Caenorhabditis elegans: one gene and its partners. The protein of the gene in region 2 purifies or fractionates together with the protein of the main gene of each other region. This does not show direct contact. Each region holds a gene or a part of one and is shown on either strand. Other genes may lie near its edges. The genes, in order: C30G7.3, erfa-3, rml-5 and cyn-6.

Region 1 (5,823 bases), 3.8 Mb from region 2:
AACCAATGTTTTTCTCGCCAAATAATTTGTTTCATCGGGAAAATAATAACGAAAAAGTTTCACAATTAAATATTATTAGTCACATTTCCAAAATAAATCATCATCAATTGTTTGCGATAACAAAAAAAACTTCGGAATTCTTAACACCTAGAAGCAGCCGTCTGAAAAGTACAAAAGCTATTATATTTATGACAAAAATGACATTTAAAATTGATTCTATATTTTCAGAAGCTGTAAGTTTTTTCCAATTCAAAAACATATAGGATACAAATGATTTCTACTTCAAAGAATTCCAGAACTTCAAACATGGCAGTTTTTGATTTCATCATTGGTTTCGGCTTCATGTTAATTGCTCTTTTTCTCATTTTCCTATACCTCAACAAGGATGGGCACATTTCAATAGCTATCAAAAAAATATTAACGAATTCAAGACAAAAGGCAAAAGATTTGAAGGATGGTTCAACATCCGACCCATCAAAAACGACACCAGCCGCACCTGCATGCTCTCCAGTATCAAATGAGGAAATAACAATACCCTCAGATGTTCAATCGGTGAATAATACTTTATCAGAAATTTCATTGTCAGAAGCTGAAGTTCAAGTTGATGAAGAGAATCCAAATATTGTGAAAATCCATGTAATTTGATGACTGTTCGCATTTCTAGTCATCATTTTGAAATTTAATAAACCAATGCGACATCGTAGTTTACTTCACCGTTGTCAATTTTTGTAGATGTACTGAAAATGTGTTTGAAATTTGTCCAATTGCAAAAATAATAATTAAAAGCTGACAATAATCATCTATTGTTCACAATGACGAAGAAATTCTAAATGCTTCTTACATAGAAGCCGACTGATAAATATAGAACTATAATATTTATGACATGATAGCATCCAAAATTGTTTCTATATTATAAAAAGCTGTAAGTTTTTTGTTCAATTTGATGGGATGGCAGCAAAAAAGTTACAATTCGACGTTAAACCATCACAACCCAGATTGACCTCGCAATGAAATATTTGACCAACTGTAGATTAAAAAACATATACCGTATTATTTCTATTAGTCTTGCACCAACAATGCTTAATTCCGAGATTTTTAGAAGATAATTTAAGTTATTTTCGTAGCATTAAGCCATATTGGTTATCATGATATCTGACTCAAATTTGGTGTCTTGGCTCTATTCTCGTGCAAACACCAAAGTCGCGTTAAAATATTTCATTAACCTAGGGAACTGCCACAAAAGTTGCACACTTTATTATCCACGACAATTGATTTCTTGGCTTTTGTGAATAAAAAATAATGTTTTTCGTAAATGAAAAATTTCAAATGATGGATTTTCCGGAAATTAATAAAAAATTATCAATTTTTCAAAAATTAAAATTTCATATTATCGACTTTTCAAAAAAAAAAAATTAAAACTTCACATTATCGATTTGTCAAAAATTGAAAATGGCAGATTACCGATCATTCAAAATTTATCGATTTTTACAGGAAGATGGAAAGTATGTAACTCTGAAATCTAATGTCGTGGAAAATGGTTTCTACTCGGGAGTCTTATAGATTTTTTCTCATTAATTTATTGATTTTTGTATTGTCATGATCTCAATTTGAAAAAAAGAAAGAAAATGTAATAATTATCGATATATTTTTTTAAATAAAACTGTTTTTGAAATTAAATCTTCACGTGGCCTTTTCGAATTTTGTTATTCTCAACAATAATCGATAATCCGTGAGATTGATAAAATCGATAAATTTCAATTATTTCTCACTTTTATACTCGTCAATACCACATTTATTACTCGCCGCTTATTCACATTACTCCAATGAACTGCAGACAATCAAAGGTGAGGTGCACGAGAAATGCGCCAGCATTTGCTTGCGCAATTCACGATACCGTATATTTTTCAGAAAAATTCTCACATCTGGGACAACGTCTGTACCGCCGGCACTCGTCGTAATCCGTATTACGTCTGCTGTGAGTTTGAGAGTCGGGAAAAACTGATAGTTTTTGTTGTTTCTGTTCAAAAATCGATAATTTCTCAAAAATAAATATTTTGAAAATTTAGAAAATATCGATTTTTCCGTAAAATCTATATTTTACACAAAAATTTTCACCTACGTGTAATTATCGATTTTTGTTCCAGAAAAGAGTTAAAATTAAAATTTTCGAATTATTGATTTTTTTGTTGGTAAAAATAGCATACAGGGTGGGCCAAAAGTATGGTAACACATGAAGCGCTCTTTTACATGAGCTTTTCGCGCGACTGCCACGTCATACGTACATTCTTCTATCGAATACTGATAGCTGAATAAATTTCCTTCAATTTGACTCAAAATTTGTAATGTTTCCCAATAAGGTGCGATCTTTATCACCTCGACAATTTGGCGAACCCTTTCGAAAAAACGGTAATTTGGCACGCGGCACTTCCCACACAAACACACCTCCCACGCACGCCAATAATTTTCAGATGTATGATTTTTATGTTAAATTGAAAGTTAAAGAAGTGAAGAAGCGTTTTTAATTGTTTTTGTAGCATATAAAAATGTTCTGTGTCGACACTGGCGCCTAGCAAGAACCTTTGTATATTTCATGAATTCAACTTTGCGAAATTTACTCAGTTTTTTTGGTTTCGCAAGGCGTAACGACCCACAAAATCATCCGAGCTCAATTTTCTAAAAAAATTCTGGAAAGTCAGGTCAAAACGTCTCGAAAAATACTAAAATAAATTTATCTGAATACTGCTACTCGCCGCTCACATCCATCTTTCTGGCGACTATGCCATTCAAGACTTAACCTACTGCCGCAGTCCATGACAGAAATACCGTGATAGAAAATATTTTGATTTTTGTTTTTAAAGAATCTCTAGACCAAGGGCATTCTTTGAACTATAAAAACTTGTAAGACACTTTATGGATTCCTCAAGAAAAATGTAGAAATCCCGCAGAATGCCGACTTGCGTGCCATAAAGATCGTGATCTCAAAAGTTCTGAAGGCCTGCAGCAATGCGGATGGATATATTTTGAAAATTCAAAACGTTCATCTGGTCAGTATTTTATGGAGAACAAAACTTGTACAAATTGATGTAATAACTCTCTCCACTAGTAAAGTTATAGAGCTGCAAACGTGTTACCATACTTTTGGCCCACCCTGTAATTCCTAAAAATCAATACTTCGAAAATATTTTTGATTTTAAGTAAAAAGCGATATTTTTTCACGTTCTTTTTTTTGATTATCGATTTTATGCAGACGGCACCACCGGCTCCACCACCTCATCACTGTCAATTTTGGAATTTTCACGTGAACAAATCACCGTAGTGTCGCCACGTGTCAAATGTCCCCTCAAGGTGAGAATATTGGAAAAAAATCATTTCAAAATTTGATCGCTGTACAAAATGCCATTTTTAACAACTATCTATCGTCAGATTCCGACCGGAAATGTATTGATTTTTTGATTTTTTGGACTAAAAATCAATAAATCAATATATATTTTTATTTTCAGCAAAAAATTGTGGAAAAACCGAAGAAAAGGAATGTATATGTCACGAACTGGGATCGTGCAGCGGCGGAGCAACCAAAGGCACTTGCCACGTGGATTTATCAGCCATTTGATAAGAGAAAGGTGGGTCGAGAATTGCGCCAAGGCTCTATCATTTTGTTGGCTTGTTGGACATCCTATCAGAAAGACATACCTGAAATTTCAGTTCGATAAGACTATTTTGAGCAGTGTTACCAGGCCTTGAAGTTTCTTATAAGATTAATCGACCGCGTCGCAGGTTGTTTGCTTTGACTAGTTGTAACTTTGCTCCCAGTGGATTGATTTGAAATTTTTTGTGTGGCTAGCTGTGTATTATTACGTACATTCAATTCAAAAAATTTTCAGTACAACAACCGCACGGCATCCGACGCCTTCGACGCCTACCAACACCGCCTGAAACTGAAAAAACTGCCCGAGACAAAGCAAAAAGTCACAAAAACCACCAAAAGACATGTGACTATCAATGAAGCGGCGACTCAAGTCATTCAGGATGTGTGGTGAGTTTGCACTAGAAACGCGCCAAGGCACGAGTTTTGCGTTAAGGCGTTAACAGTAGTATACATACATACATCAGAAATCAATACAGAGAAATCAATACACAGCTCTACGAGCATTTTGAACAATTTTGAACAGTTACGTAGATTTTGAACAGTTACGTAGATTTGAAGTATTGAGAAAAACCGCGACGCAGACTAAAGTTTTGAACCACTGTAACTTTGCTCGCACTGTTCGAAGACTTTCAAAATTTTTTGTGAACGCTCCCAATGTAATTGTTAATATGATGACGTCATCATTGCTCCTTGGCGTATTTTTCGTGCCATGACGCAATTCTTGATCATTAAATTTGAAGCCCTAATTTTCCTAGTTTCAGCCACCTCCAACCGAAATCCTACCAAAAAATTCGCATATCAAATTGTCGAAATGATGAGGTGAAAATCGATAGTTTCTCTGCTAACCGAGTTCCAAAAGACGATGATATTGACGACCTGAACGTGAATGTTCCAGTTGAAGATGATGATGACGTGGAACTCGATGACGTCATCCTTGCTCAAAATCCGGCGTTTTACGGCACAATTGAAGCGGAAAAGTGTGCAGAACGAGTTGCCGCACATCTATCGATGGCCTGTGAAAACATGGAACGTTTGCAATTTGTGACGGAAGCCGTGTATCCACAGAGCGCCGCTCATTTGGTGAGTGATTGCCTAATATGGAAAATAAATATTGATTTTTTTGCAGAAGAAGCTTCAAGAAATCGATGATGACGTCAAGGATTTCAATTGTCAGATGAGACAGCGTCGTGTCAAAGCTTCGAATCCAGGAGTACGTACTTTTAAGTTTCTGTGTGAAATTTCATGGCTGGACCGCGACGCGACACGAAACTCATGAAATTTTTGAAACTTTAGCGTTTTAATTCAGAACATCAAATTAGATGAAAAAAATGAACCACAGAAAATTTCAGAGCTGTAGCCACATTTTGAGCAAAGTTAAGGTGGTTTGAAAGTCCTAGCGACACACGACGCATGTCAAAACTTGCAGTTACCCTAACTTTGCTCTTAGTAGACACAGAGCTCTGAAATTTTTTGAGCGTGCTCCCCATGCAATAGAAAACTTGTTTGCGCAATTTTGGTGCCTTGCAAACACCATAACCGTGTAAAAATATTTTATTATTCCAGGGAACAGTCACAAAAGTTGCACACTTCATTATCCACGGCAATTGATTTTCCTCGATTTTTGCGAATAAAGAATTTATTGATTGGATTTCCAATTTTTTAAACCTTTTTTGTAGTCACCTAACAACCCGGATTTTCAAGTAGATTTTTAACAATTTTCAGGAAAGCGAATAACTGGAAATAATGCCTAAGTGCCTAAGACTAAGCCTAAAAATGAGCCTAAGGCTAAACCAAAAAAAATCCTAAGCCTAAGCCCTGTGACATAAGCCGGCAAAGTGAAGCAAAACGGCTTGTTTTTTGCGCTGTTATGAGCTTCATTCTTATTTGTTAGACCTTGTGTGTCCCCAAGCCAAGCTATTTCGTCGACATGATGATAAAAATTGGTTTTTGATTTAAACGAATTTTTTGACGCCATACTTATTTATTCGAGAAAAAATAAGCATATATAAAATAGGAAATTCAACAGAGAGTCAAACAAATTAAACGCTTTTTCAAACTGAACTTTCAGGAAAAATAGCAATACGTTTTATCTGAAAAGGGTTGTTTGCTATTATATTGTTTTGTTGCAGAGAACTTATTAATAATATTTATTTTTAAAAAAACCATGTTTTTAAAAT
Region 2 (5,189 bases):
TCCTGTAATTATTGTGAATTCTGTTATAGAATTTCTAATTTCAGCAACGATTCAATCAAAATTATTTTCGTTCGCTTACTTTATTTTTAGAAAACGCCAATTTGAGCCGATCGTGGAACCATTTCGATCCACCAGGGTATTCCTTCCCCATATGGTACAAGTTTTTGTACAAGTCAATTACTCTGCTTCTCAATGACATTCCTCAAATATTATCTGATCAAATCTGTGCAATTCAAGCAAAGAGTAGGCACAGGTGTTTCGCGGTTTTTAAAATACTTATGAAATGTAGTTCGCACACTTCTACGAGAGGCACCAGCGATATAGTAAAATACTTGCAAAATCGCAAATATTTTGCAAATTGCGACCACCGAGAATCGCGATTACCAAAATACTGCTAAAATGTTAGTGGTCCCGCAGCGAAATTCGCGATTTACAAAATGCGTCTGTAATATTGGTGGCCATAAGTATTTTACAAACGGCGAATCATATGTGGGTATATCATCAGGTTATTTTCCTTTTTTGATTATTCGTATTACAGTATAGTCCAAAGTTTAAAACAAACACCCCATTCATATTATGAATATTGAATGAATCAAATCAAATTAATCGAATAAATAGAGAAAACAATGAACAAAGATTTAAATTCTGAATAATATATGAAGGGAAAATGGAATACGAATAGAATTTTGCTTTATGGATAGTGGAAGGGAAAATGAATTCAGGTAATTTCTATTAGAAATAGGATTGGTAACATTAGATTCAACAATCTTCCCAATGGAAACATGTGGAATCTAAAAGAAAAATAGTGAAAAGCGACATGTGGGAGGGACAGAAAACGGACCGGCTGAAATCAGAAAAAAAAACAATTTTTAGAATAGAAATGACTAATTTATCAATGAAATTACTCGACAACTTTGAGGACCTTTCCGATAGCGATTGTTTTTCCTTCATCTCTGAGGGTGAATCTTCCAAGGTATGGATACTCTTTGAATGGCTCGAGTACGAATGGTTCAGGACTTTCTAGTCTCATAATGCACTTCTCGTCTTGTTTCACAAACTTAGCACGCTTCTTTTCGCCCGTTTTCTTGTCAATTGTGGCAATGACTCCCTGAAAATGTATTTTATTTGGAAAAAATACTTACGAGAAAAGCAACAGTCTCATTTTTAACGTTTCTTGTAAAAGTGAAAAAAATGTCACATGAAAGTAGAAAAATGATTTGAAATTTCGGGATCTCGGCAAAAATCAGAAAATTAAAAGACAGAGACCCGAAGAACTCGGGGGTTGTCCAATTGGGGGGATTACCAACTCGGGGGATTGGCCCCGCCCACAGAACCGTGGCTTGCAATACGCCCATTTCTGCAACTGCCGCACGGTTTTAAACCTGTATTTTTCTCATTAGAGCGAGAAATAACAAGAAAAAATAATTTTATAACCGTGCGGCAGTTGCAGAAATGGGCGTATTGCAAGCCACGGTTCTGTGGGCGGGGCCAATCCCCCGAGTTGGTAATCCCCCCAATTGGGCATCCCCCGAGTTCTTCGGGTCTCAAAAGACATACCTTCACAGTGACTTCTTCGACAGCTGATTGAATATGCAATACACATGAATATCCGGATGCAATAATTGATCTGTGCTCGAGGACAAGGACTTCAGCATCGAAAACGCGGCCAGTTTTAGCAAGAGAATCTGGTGAGCAAATAATGAATCCTCCTTGCAATTCGTTTTCTTCAATTCCCTTCAGCTTGAATTTGATATTATCTCCAGCGACGACACGTTCAGTCTCCACATCATCCGCCCAAATCTGAAGCACCTGAACAGGCTGTTTGTTTGGCATAACAACAAGTGTATCTCCTTTTTGCACACATCCCGATTCCATCTTTCCGATAATGACAGTTCCCATTTCAGAATATTTTTCAGCAACAGTGCACCGGACAGGTCCATTGAAATCACGTTTGTAGGATGGGAGAAGCACATCAATAAATTCGATGAAACACGGACCTGAATACCAGTTTCCTTCGGATCCCGTCGGTCTATCCTTGATGAAGGCTCCAGTTAGCCCCGAACATGGAACATAAGTGATATCAGTCTTTGGATTGAACCCAAGCTTTCTAAGAAACGGCGTGAGTTTTCCTTCGATTTCCTTGAAACGCTCCTCTTCCCATTTAACGGTTGGATCGTCCATCTTGTTTACGAGGATGACCAGATGCTTAACTCCTGCAGTCTTGACAAGCATAGAATGTTCACGAGTTTGGCCTCCCCGATCAAATCCAGTTTCAAACTCTCCACGACGTGCGGAGATAACCTAAACAGATTAAAATATTTTCAGTTCTTAACAGAAAAGCTTTCATCGTGAAACATACCAGAACAGCTAAATCAGCTTGATTGGCTCCAACAATCATGTTTGGCACAAAAGATTTGTGGCCCGGTGCATCGAGGATAGTGAAATGACGCTTCTCGGTTTCGAAATAGGCACGTCCAACCTCCACAGTCTTTCCCTTCTCTCTTTCTTCGTCGTTTGTATCCATACACCAGGAAAGATACCAACTTTCACGACCCTTTTCCTTGGCTTCTCTCTCGTATTTTTCCAGTGTCCGCTTGTCAACCATTCCGGTTAAGAACATAAGCTGTCCTCCAATGGTGGACTTTCCAGCATCAACGTGCCCGACAAATACCATGTTAATGTGTTCTTTGTGAGTGCCATCGTCGACGTATACGGTACGTTGAAACTTCTTGGCGAGAGGAGCAACAAGGTCTTCTTCTGGGGTTGGCTGAAAATTGAAATTGAGCTGTTAGAAAATAGTAAAACTGTGTTTAAAATGGAAATGAACTGGGTTTCCTTTACTAAAAAATACAAATATACAAAATCGTTCCAGTAGAAGTGCCCCAATATTCTTCTTTTTTTTAATCAAAAATTGAATTATTTGCATTTTAAGACTTACAGATAACAGTATCAGAAGCTTGAAAATAAAAATAGTGATAGAACAAATATTTGATTGTAGAATCCAAAAAAACAAAACAAATTGAAAGGTCTTGAGGTAAATAACTGTTAAACAAATAATCAATGAATATCTCAAAAATTCGTTCAACGTATGATACCAACTTTCATTGAAATTTTATTGAAACTTATTTTTTTGAAGTATACATTAATTATTCTTCACAATTACCGAACCTCGAAAAAATAATTCATTTGTACTATTTTTTAAGTCAGGTATCAATGCTACTCATAACAGCTTTCATACCTCTTTTTTCGGAGCCTCTGTTGCGGAAACGGGTGCAACAGGCGCAGATTCTTGAACTGCAACTGGTTCAGCAACTTCTGGCTGAACTGCAGCAGGGGATGTGTCTGCTTGAGCTTCCCAATCTGAAAGAATGTTTCGTTTTTTTAAGATATCGATACAGGCAAGTACCTTCTGTTGGTTCTGGAGCAGCCTGCTCTGGTTGAGGCGTGTATGGTTGCCCAGGGACGAATGGTCGTGCATTCGCATTTGGCACAAACGACGAGGCGTTCACGTTCCAGCCTGACATTTTGCGTCGATGCCGAGAGCTCTGAAATCGCTTTTAACTTTTAATTATGAATAACAGGTGTTATTTAAAACATTTATAAAAGTTACCGAACCTAAAACGAGCTAAAACGTTTCAAGCAAAACAGAAAAATTATATTTAAGTCAGACATTTAATTTAAAGTTGTATTTTTGAAATTTTTTTGGAAAAATAGTGCTCAGAATGTCACAGAGTGAAAAATAAATAGCGAAAAACGATCGTTGCACCATTTTGAGAAGTATTGCCAAACGAATGGGGAGGAGCCCAAACGCAATGTGCGGCACGCGTTTTCGCAAGTCTGCCGCATGTCTCTCTGGGTCATTGCCGAAGTGATATTTATTTCAAAAATATAAGCGCCAAAACTCTTGCGAAACTCATTGACGTGTGACTTTTTTATTGATTTTTTGAAAAGATAACAGAAAAACAATTTATTTTGAATTGTGCCCGCTATGAAAATTGAAGTTGCCTTCACTTTCTCAGATTATCGAAGGTTTTTCAATATCACCATGTTTACTTTTTTTTTCGATTTACATCGCTTTTTGAACGCGCTCTCCCGAACTTATCCAGCCAAATTCCACAAAAGGATAAGACTGTTGTCAAAAATCGATCAATATTAATTTCCTTGTGGCTCCTCGATTCCGTTTGTTTTCTGTTCTCTTTTCACCGGTGTCTTTTCTCACGCGAAGCATCATGTAATACTTCCAAACAAATGCGTTCTTGTTTTCTTATATTAATTTGCAAATAGTTTTGCTTGTGTTCTTATTTTTCTATAAAATAAATAAATGTTTTCTTCAAAAAATGAAGCGTCAAAAATCGATATTTTTTCAGAAACACTGGGCTGATTGACTATAGGAATCACTCTGGTTGTTTTATCACTAACTTGTGTGGCTGCTGCGAGAGAACGGATAAACGAAAGAGGCAAAGACGCTAGCAGACAAAGTGACCCGTCAGTCTGATCATGCAGTGCTCGCCGGATCCCGAAGATCTACTCATTGTGCCGACGCACGATATACCATCCTATGATGAAAGTTTGGATCCATTCGGGCCAGAAGGCCATTTGTCCTTGGACATTGACTGCTTTTCGAAGTTTATGTCTCGTTCAGACAATCGGATTATGTCCAAGCCAATTATCGTTCGTGGCATCCCTTGGCGTATTCTAGCCATTTGCAGGTAAGCTTTTAAAAATTAATAAGAGCATTTGCTCAACAAGCCAAGAGGTTCCAGAAATCAACAAGGAAGTCGGCATTCGATGAACTCTCGTGTCAACCGCAGCAATTTTAACTTCGGGTTCTTTCTGCAGTGCAACAATGATGAGTTGCTGCAGAAACGTGGAATGTGGCGATGCTATGGAACGGCCGTTTTGGAAGTTCTTAATGCGGATGGTCCATCGATTCAGAAAAAGATTCATCATTCATTTCACAATACGGAGGTTGATTGGGGATTTTCAAATTATGACCAGTATGACACCCTGTGCAACCCCAAAGATGGATACGTAGTGAATGACACTATCAAATTGAGATGTCGTTTCACTGCTGATGTTCCGACTGGAGCCAACTATATGTAAGTTTAACACTCTCATCAGGAGACATTGAAAAAAACGACAGGAACCGGGAATTTTATAATAGTTCGCGAATTAATTTATAACTCATA
Region 3 (5,531 bases), on a different chromosome or scaffold from region 2:
TGAATGTTCGGTCGTTTTCGCAAATATGCCACGTATCGATTGATTTCTCTATTCTACGTGTATGTGATGGCTCTTTACTCATTGCAAGTTGATGATGACCTCGATGATAAGGATAAGGATAATTAATTTCGAAAAAAAAAAGTTTTCTTTTTTTGAATAAAGCTAATTTTTTACTTTTTTATGAATCAGTACTAAAAAAAATCTGGAAAATTATGGCCCAAATCAAGAAATTTCCAAAAATTAACGTCTCCGGAAACTTGTTTCTCTTGTTAGGCTCCGCCCATTTTTTAGGCCAAAATTTGAATAAAAAATTGTCAAAAAAAATTTGCCGCGAAGATCATTATTTATATATTAAAAAATATTATGAATTGATACTGGTATAGGGTTAGTATGGGGATATGGTCAGTGTACTGTAGTAGTACTGTAGGGGTACTGTATGAGTACTGTAGGATTACTGTAGTTTTGGAAAAATTGACTTTTTGTCTTTTGAAGAGATATTGGTTTGAGGTTAGTAGGGGGTATAGCCGGGGTACTGTAGTAGTACTGTAGGGGGTGCTGTAGGAGTACTGTAGTTTAAGAAAAAATTTAGTTTTTTTTTTTCAAATTCAAATTTAATGGGAAAATTTTTTGGTGGGAATTAAAATCTTCTGTGATAAAATTTTGGCTGAAATTCAAATTTTCTGAGAAAAAAAACAACTTTTTTAGAAAAATCTGGAAACTTCTAGAATTTTCTAAAAATTGAATTATAATTTTTCAGACCAAACTGGCGACTAGAGTGGCGACTAGACTGAAAATTTTTCAGAGCGACTTTTTTGCAGCTCAAAGCTGTGCTCCCACTTGGTTTCAGTCCGTCAATACGGTTTGATCTACAAAAAATGCGGGAATTTTTTTGCCCAAAAAAATGTGACGTCACTCTTAACCATGCAAAATCAGTTGAGAACTCTGCGTCTCTTCTCCCGCATTTTTTGTAGATCTACGTAGATCAAACCGAAATGGGACACTCTGCCACTGATTTTTTTTGCACCAGGGGCCTATTTAGAATGGGGTTTTTTTTCAAACGAATTAGGTTTTATTTAGAAGTCTGGAACTTAGTTAAAATATATTTTATTTGGCCCTTGTAAGTTTAAGTTTTTCAGAATTTTCAGAACTTTTTGAAAGAATTTTGGCGCGCGAAACTTGAATGCTGTGGTTTTTCATGCTACGTGGCTGCAAAACTTCTATTGTCGCAGATAGAGTATACAATCAATGTCCTGGATCTATCTCGATTTCATTCGCATGTCTCTCTGCGGCTCTCATCTACCAATACTCTCTCACTTCTATCTGTTCGTTGCGATCTCTGCGCTGCCGTCCTTGACCGCGATATGTCATACAGAAACTGTATTCATTCTCGACTTTCTATTTTTTTTTGTTTTGGAGAATTTATGTTCATCTTAAAATTAATTTGGTTTTTGAACATATTGAGGAAACGGTTTTTTGAAAAATAATTTGCTTTTTTTAAAAATTTTTTTCCCAAAACACATTTTAAAAAATTAATTTTAAAAAATTTCTTTGACAAGCGACACGCGGTTCTGGCTTCCCTCATAAATTGAAATGGAAGAATTTGCCGAACTAGGCCAGGCCATATCCGGGGTAGATTTACGGCGCGTTGCGTGTCGCGTCGCGGCTTGATTTCAGTTGTAAAACTAAATGTATTCGTTCGTGTGGAGTGCACGACTTTCCCAGTCCGGCAGGCAATTGTCAATGGAGCGGGAAAAATTTAATGAGGAAGGCCAGAACCCCGTGAAGCGACACTCCGTTGCTAGGCGTTGCAGATTTTTTGTTAAACCTTCGAAATTTCAGTGAAAAATGACCGTTTTGATTACCGGCGGGATTTCAAAAATATCTACTCAACTTGCGGAGGCGGTGCTAAAAAACGGAAGAAATGTGGTTCTTCTGCACAATAATGAGGCGGTAAGTGGTGGCCTACAAAATTTTCGAAAATTAATTTTTAATTATCGAGTAGTATAGGATTTTCCAGCTGGCCGAGAAATCCTTGTAATGGCCTTAAAAGTTTAACGTTCCTATTCCGGCAATTGGTAATTTCGGCAAATTTGCCCAAATTTGTCCAAATTGCCGGAATTGCCGGAATTGCATTTTTAGGCTCCTAAATCTACAAAAAGTATGAAATTTTTATTTCCGGCAATTCTGGCGATTGCAGGTTCTCAAATTTTTCAGCAATCGGCAATTTTGGCAATTGCCGGTTTTTTGAATTTTCGGCAATTACCGAAATTGCCGAACAGCGAAAATGGTTCCCATTGAAAATGCTAGAGTGGCCTAGAAATTCTCAGGTGGCCGAGAAATTTCATGATGGCCTAATTATTTCAAATTTCTCTTCCAGATTCCAACAAATCTGATCAATAATCCATCGCTCACACTTATCAATTTATCATCAATCAACGAGGAAGCAATCAAAAATCTAATCGAAAATTACAAAATCCAAACAATTTTCGACGCATCTCTCACCACAACTGATGTGCTCTTGGAGCCAATTCAAGGAGCTAAGAAATTGATTCTGGTAAGGTTTTAGTAAACATGCTCTATTGGCAAACATTGGGTGTACTCCACGTGAAAATAGAGAAATTTCGAATTTCGTAAAGTCAGAAATTAAAAAAAAAATCCAGAAAACTCCTGGGAAGTCAGAAATTATCAGAAAATTTGGAATATTTTTTTGAAAAATAAAATAAAAATTCCAGAAGTCCACGTGGTGTCAGGCTGTCCCATCACGGTTTGATCTACAATAAATGCGGGATTTTTCCCCCAAAAATATGTGACGTCAGCACGTTCTAAACCATCTGCGTCTCTTCTCCCGCATTTTTTGTAGATCTACGTAGATCAAGCCAAAATGAGACACTCTGACACCACCTGAAAGTCCGAAATTTCTAGAAAATGTTGAATGCTTTAAAAAAAATCAGAAAATTCCAGAGGTTTCTTTAAAAAAAAGGTTGAGAAAAATTGAAAAATTTATATCTTTTCTAAAATTCTAAAAAAAATACAAAAAAATATTTTAAAAATAAATCAACATTTCCAAAAATCTTTGAACAATTTAGAAAATTCACGAAATTGCAGAAATTTTCAGAAATTTCAAATTTTTTTGAAAAATTTCCGTAAAAGCACGCGCGCTCAGTTGACAAACCCCTAGAATTAAAAAAAAATCAATATTTTTTTCAGGGAATCACGTCAATCCTCGATGCAATCCGTAAATCCGCATCCCCACCATCTCTGGTTCTCATTAGTGGTGACGAGGTGTACGGTAGGGCGAAGAATCGTGTCGAGACCCAACCTCTAGAGCCGGTCACATTCATCGGCTCAGCTCAAATGTCCGTTGAAGCAATGGCTCACAGCTATGCTGTCAGTTATCGTATTCCAATGGTCATCGGAAGGGTATCCGATGATTTATCGATTTCTGACGCGACACGTGGATTATTGGCAATTGAAAAGTTGGCACAAAGCCAAAAACCAGCGGAGGTCTACAATATTTCGGCTTCTTCAGCTGAAAAAATTCAGAAAGAAACGAATTGGAGCCCGTCTGGCTCTGTAAAGGAACAGGGACCCATCGAAGAAGTTTTTAAGCCAATTTTCTTAGTTTTCGGAGCTAATTCGGAACTGAAAACTCAATTTTTGGAGCTGCTAAAGCTGGAGGGACTGGTTTCCAAGGTTTGATCTCAAATTTTTGTATTACGGTAGCCACAAAAAAACACCATACTTTACGACAATTTGCAGAAAATATCTAAAAATTACGTCTTTTGTATTACGGTAGCCTCAAAAAAAAAAACACCATACTTTACGACAATTTGCTGCTCCAGGGGTAAAACTAAGCGGGAAATTCAAAAAAAGTGTCTAAAATTCGTTTCTAAATTTTTAAAACTCTCAAAAAGTCAAAACTTAACTAATTTCCAGGAATCCACAATCACAAATCTGCAAGAAGCCACTGATAAATCGGTTATCGATGAGATTAACACAATCAATCCATCCCATTTGGTTTATTTCGGAAATGAAACCGGTAAGTGACTTGGTGGCTGAAGACAGTGGCCGCAAAAAGTTTTTAGGCCATGAAATTATATTTTTTGGTCGGAAATGCTTTTCTTTTTACGCTAAAAAAATCAAAAATGCCAAAAAACAATTTTTTTTGGACTTAAAATTTGTCTCAAAATTCAATTTCACGAATCACGGGTTCTGGCCTTTCTCATTGAATTTTTCGCGCTCCATTGACAATCGCCCGCCGGAAAACGTGTGGGAAAGTCGTATACTCCACACGGACAAACACATTTAGTTTTACAACTAAAATCAAGCCGCGACGCGACACGAAACGCGCCGTAAATCTACCCCAGATATGGCCGAGCCAAAATGGCCTAGTTCGGCAAAAACTCTTCCATTTCAATTTATGAGGGAAGCCAGTGGCCGCAAAAAGTTTTTAGGCCACGAAAGAATCTTTTTGGTCGAAATTTATGTCAATTTATGCTTTAAAAAAATTCAAAAATGTCAAAAAAAAAATTTTTTTTGGACTTAAAATTTGTCTCAAAATTCAATCAAAGCTTTTTTCGCTAAAATATTTTTTCACCGAGAAAAAAATTCTGGGCCAAAAAAAAGCTTTTTATTTCAAATTCCAGACTCATTCGAAGGCGACTGCTTCACTCTCCGTACCAATATGGCGACTAATCTCTATTTTCCATGGCTTCTCGCAAGTATTGCCGAAAAGTTCTCCCTACACTTCACCCATTTTGGAAATACTTCTATGAGCCAAGAGTCTTCAGCTCTTGCCGTTAAAGGATACACTGGGAAAATGTTGGAATATTTCGAAAAAACGCTCATAATTGGACAGAAAATCGATAAAAACGTGCTGGAATCGATTAAGGCATGCAAGACTGGAGGACTTAATAATAATATTTAATTATTGAATTTTTGCAAATTATTTTTGAACTTAAAGCATTCCTTTTTCTGCGATTTTTTCAATCAATAAATTTTGAAATTAGTGTTGTACTGGCAAATTGGCAAAATGCCGGAATTGAAAATTTCAGGCAAATCGGCAAACCGGCAATTTGCCGAAATTGGAAATTTCTGGCAAATCGGCAACCCCGCAATTTGCCAGAATTGAAAATTTCCGGAAAATCGGCAAATCGGCAAACCAGCAATTTGCCGGAATTTAAAATTTTCAGCAAATCGGCAAACCGGCAATTTGCCGGAATTGAAAATTTCCGGAAAATCGACAAACCGGCAGATTGCCGGAATTTAAAATTTCCGGCAAATCGGCAAACCGGTGAATAGCCGCAATTTGAAATTTCCGGCAAATCGGCAAAACTGGCAAATTGCCGTAATTTAAAATTTCTGGCAAATTACCAGAATTGAAAATTTACGGCAAATTAACGGAATTGAAAATTTCTGCCAAATCGGCAAACCGGCAATTTACCGGAAATGAAAATTTCCGGCAAATCGACAACCCGGCAAATTGCCGAAAATGACAATTTCCGGCAAATCGGCAAACTGGCAATTTGCCG
Region 4 (3,240 bases), on a different chromosome or scaffold from region 2:
ACGAAGTAAGAGTACCCTATTAAAGCATGTTCAATGAAAATCTCATTATTCCAGAGACCTCTCAAGATCCTATCGAGTATCTGAGCAGTTGAATGCTGGAAACGTCTATGTCAATACCTATAATGATGTTTGTAAGTTGCTCCGAATCCCACTAGATCTAGAAAAGAACCTGTAATTTCAGCGCCACTGGTTCCATTCGGAGGAGTCGGAGAATCAGGATTCGGACGTGAAAACGGAACAGCAGTACTCGAACATTATACTCACCTGAAGTCGGTCTTTGTCAATACCGGAACGTGCCCCAACCCATTCTAATGAGTCTTCAAATGTACAAATCTTTATACTTTACTAGTTAGACGAACGGATCGAGAATAAATTATTGCTTTTAGAAGTGTATTTCAACTTCAGAATTGAAACCAATACTCCACAAAGTTATGATATAGTGTTTTTGGTATTTCGAACATTGGCAAGTCAGGTTGCTCAATTATTAATACTATTACAAGTTCCAAAACGTAGCACATCCTGACAGCGCTGTATAATCAAGTACTGAAACAAAACACGTTTATTAGAATTTTAGAAAGTAATTATAGTACATTCAACAAAAATACACATATTAATTGGAAAACCCGTAGATCATTAGGTTTAATTAACTCCTGCTCTGGCGACAGTGAATGGGTTCTCTACTGGAATATGTCCAGCGTTGGCGATGACAACATCCTCAATTGGCCGATCTCCAGCTCCTTTTGGTGTAGCCTCGATCTCACGAACTACGTCCATTCCTTCCAGGATCTTACCGAACACCACATGCTTTCCATCGAGCCATGAGGTTTTGGCGGTAGTGATGAAAAATTGAGATCCATTGGTATCTTCTCCAGCGTTGGCCATTGACAACCATCCTGGTCCGTAGTGTTGAAGCTTGAAGTTCTCATCTTCAAAGCGCTCGCCGTAGATCGATCGTCCACCGGTTCCGTCGCCACGTGTGAAGTCTCCACCTTGAATCATGAAGTTTTCGATGACACGGTGGAACTTGCTACCAACGTATCCTTCTCCCTGAAAATATTAAAGTCTACAGAATTTAATTAACAAACTGAAATACCTCAGCTCTCTGTGCCAACTCAACGAAATTCTTCACTGTCTTCGGCACGACCTCTCCGAAAAGTCCGATGACGATTTTCCCAACAGGTCTTCCTCCGATCTCCATGTCAAAGAAGACCTTGTCAGTGACACGTGGTCCACGTGCCTCGGCTGACAAAGCCAGAATGGCGAGAACGAAGAAAAGAAGAGCACGGCTCATCTGGAAACTTGTTGAGATTTTGGATGCTCATTTTCATAGTAATATAATTAGAGTAGTATATGGTAAAAGTCGGATTTGACATAAAATATGATTTTTAAAAAAACCTCAAAGTAAGAATTTAGTTTCAAAATTAATCGTTTGAAGTTAAACAAAATTCTAATAATTTAGCCTATCAAAATTTAATCATAAGATTTCTAGTTCCTGATCTTTTTTCCCCTACTTTGTACTTTAAGTACTTAAGTACTAAGTACTAAGTTATAATAAATAAATATTTTATTTATAAATATAATGCATAGTATTTAATTTAACTAACAATGTAAGCAATTTTCTAGAAATCCAACAGCATGTATTTAATTGTAAGTATATTAATTGCAAGTTTTATTTTTCAAAAAATATAGAAGAATGCATTCAAAAATCCTGTTCGAAAAGAAAAAAACGACAAAAGAAAAATCGATACAGCTGCAGGAAGCAGCCGTGTCCGGCGGAATAGTGGACATTTGTGCGTGCGCGCATTCTTTTTTATAGTGTTGCAGAGAGTGTGGAGAATTAGAAAGTTACCTTGACCTCTATCTGAAAACAATGGGAGATAATGATAATGATGTAGGTTAACAGTTGTATCTATAGATAAAAATAAAATAATAACAATCTATGATGTAGGTAACTTTGGACATCTTATTTTCTATAAAAGTTATAGGTTACAGTGCAAAACTTTAAGAATAAAAATTTTTAAATTGGTAAAAATCGTCATCCGCAAATGTGGAATAATCGGGTTTTGAAATCGACGTATCGTATCCAAGAATTCCCAAAAAAGGTGCCACGTCATCAAGTTTTCGTAGAGTTTCTTCACTAAAACAATCAAACCACGAGGTTAAGGCTTTAGTGTTTATCGAGTTTTTAACTTGTGATGCAGAGAATTCTTGACTGCAAAATTAAGAGATAGTTGAAGTTCAAAAGTTTTAATGAAGAAAGCACATACTCGTTTAAATCAACTTCGTCTCCAATTAAATCTTGATGTCTTAGCATTTGCTGGGAAAATGGCAGATCCAGGAAGTTGGTGATACGTAGGATTTCTTCCGCAGGTTTTTGAATCAGTCGTTCATAATATACTTTTATGCATTGCCCTGGCGCATTATTGCATTGAAAAGTCATTTTTCGAAGCTCCTGATTCCACTGAACAAACATTGACTAAATGTTTCAAATTATCTTTAGAAATTCAAGAGTTTCATTAGGGAGACCTTACAATTTCATCAGACGTATTATACCCAGCAACTGGTACTTTTCTTTCTATCATTGAATGAACTACGGCACGAGCATCTCGAATCATCAGAATAAACTTTGCATTCGGGTACAGTCGGCGAATAGTCGGAAGCCACAATGCGGTGTATGGATCCTTGTTGCACAGACGAGGTGCTAGTTCACTGTGCTTCGCGACTATCTGTATGAATTGCAATTAAAGATGAACACGGTGACAAGAGCACTACCTCAGTGATGAATGCTGAAACAGCGTCGTCAAATACTTCCTGAGTAATTCCTGAATTATTGACCCAATCATTCCGCCAGCCTGCTTGCCATGTAAGGAAACTTGGAAGCAGCATGGTTTCACCGCCACTGAAAGTTTGAAGTGAGCAGAAGTAATACGTTTTGTTTTTTCTGAATAAGAAGTATCATATTGTCAAGAAAAAGTCTTGACTTCAGAAAGCCTTGTTTCGACGGAGTTTAAAAGTTTTAAAGGAGAAGAAATTCAAGATCTTTTGGCCAAGCGCAGCATACATCGCATTTTTGAAATTTTCTAAATTTACCATCGAACATCCGGATGTGCATCTAGAATAGCTCTCATCAAAGTAGTCCCACTTCTCGGCACACCACCCACAAAAATCAGCTGCTCCAAATTTGAGAGGAGTCGTCTCGAGTGTCGAGCATCTTGCTCATTGAAGATTAAGCTCTCTTTT

Evidence for each region.
Region 1: the proteins of erfa-3 (region 2) and C30G7.3 fractionate together in Caenorhabditis elegans (co-fractionation; one large-scale study listed by BioGRID). This does not show direct contact.
Region 3: the proteins of erfa-3 (region 2) and rml-5 fractionate together in Caenorhabditis elegans (co-fractionation; one large-scale study listed by BioGRID). This does not show direct contact.
Region 4: the proteins of erfa-3 (region 2) and cyn-6 fractionate together in Caenorhabditis elegans (co-fractionation; one large-scale study listed by BioGRID). This does not show direct contact.

What each region holds. Positions count from the first base shown.
Region 1 is NC_003283.11:14,941,606-14,947,428, reverse strand, and holds C30G7.3 (MADF domain-containing protein), read left to right. Parts: upstream 1-1,724; 5' UTR 1,725-1,823; coding exon 1,824-1,844; intron 1,845-1,908; coding exon 1,909-1,975; intron 1,976-3,247; coding exon 3,248-3,345; intron 3,346-3,500; coding exon 3,501-3,620; intron 3,621-3,881; coding exon 3,882-4,033; intron 4,034-4,407; coding exon 4,408-4,726; intron 4,727-4,772; coding exon 4,773-4,856; intron 4,857-5,209; coding exon 5,210-5,254; 3' UTR 5,255-5,299; downstream 5,300-5,823. Other genes in the region: C30G7.4 (Matrix-remodeling-associated protein 7), read left to right, coding at 307-645.
Region 2 is NC_003283.11:11,109,547-11,114,735, forward strand, and holds erfa-3 (Tr-type G domain-containing protein), read right to left. Parts: upstream 3,546-5,189; 5' UTR 3,525-3,545; coding exon 3,407-3,524; intron 3,361-3,406; coding exon 3,239-3,360; intron 2,768-3,238; coding exon 2,360-2,767; intron 2,302-2,359; coding exon 1,558-2,301; intron 1,109-1,557; coding exon 902-1,108; 3' UTR 554-901; downstream 1-553. Other genes in the region: etfr-1 (LYR motif-containing protein 5), read right to left, coding at 1-2, 80-199; math-33 (Ubiquitin carboxyl-terminal hydrolase 7), read left to right, coding at 4,498-4,709, 4,755-5,099.
Region 3 is NC_003279.8:1,791,415-1,796,945, forward strand, and holds rml-5 (NAD(P)-binding domain-containing protein), read left to right. Parts: upstream 1-1,839; 5' UTR 1,840-1,845; coding exon 1,846-1,950; intron 1,951-2,377; coding exon 2,378-2,554; intron 2,555-3,207; coding exon 3,208-3,693; intron 3,694-3,936; coding exon 3,937-4,039; intron 4,040-4,646; coding exon 4,647-4,927; 3' UTR 4,928-5,010; downstream 5,011-5,531.
Region 4 is NC_003281.10:771,465-774,704, reverse strand, and holds cyn-6 (Peptidyl-prolyl cis-trans isomerase 6), read right to left. Parts: upstream 1,292-3,240; coding exon 1,094-1,291; intron 1,048-1,093; coding exon 640-1,047; 3' UTR 546-639; downstream 1-545. Other genes in the region: alh-11 (Aldehyde dehydrogenase domain-containing protein), read left to right, coding at 1-5, 55-131, 182-312; tpst-2 (Putative protein-tyrosine sulfotransferase), read right to left, coding at 2,002-2,212, 2,268-2,476, 2,532-2,726, 2,773-2,899, 3,091-3,128. UniProt on the Caenorhabditis elegans protein: PPIases accelerate the folding of proteins. It catalyzes the cis-trans isomerization of proline imidic peptide bonds in oligopeptides.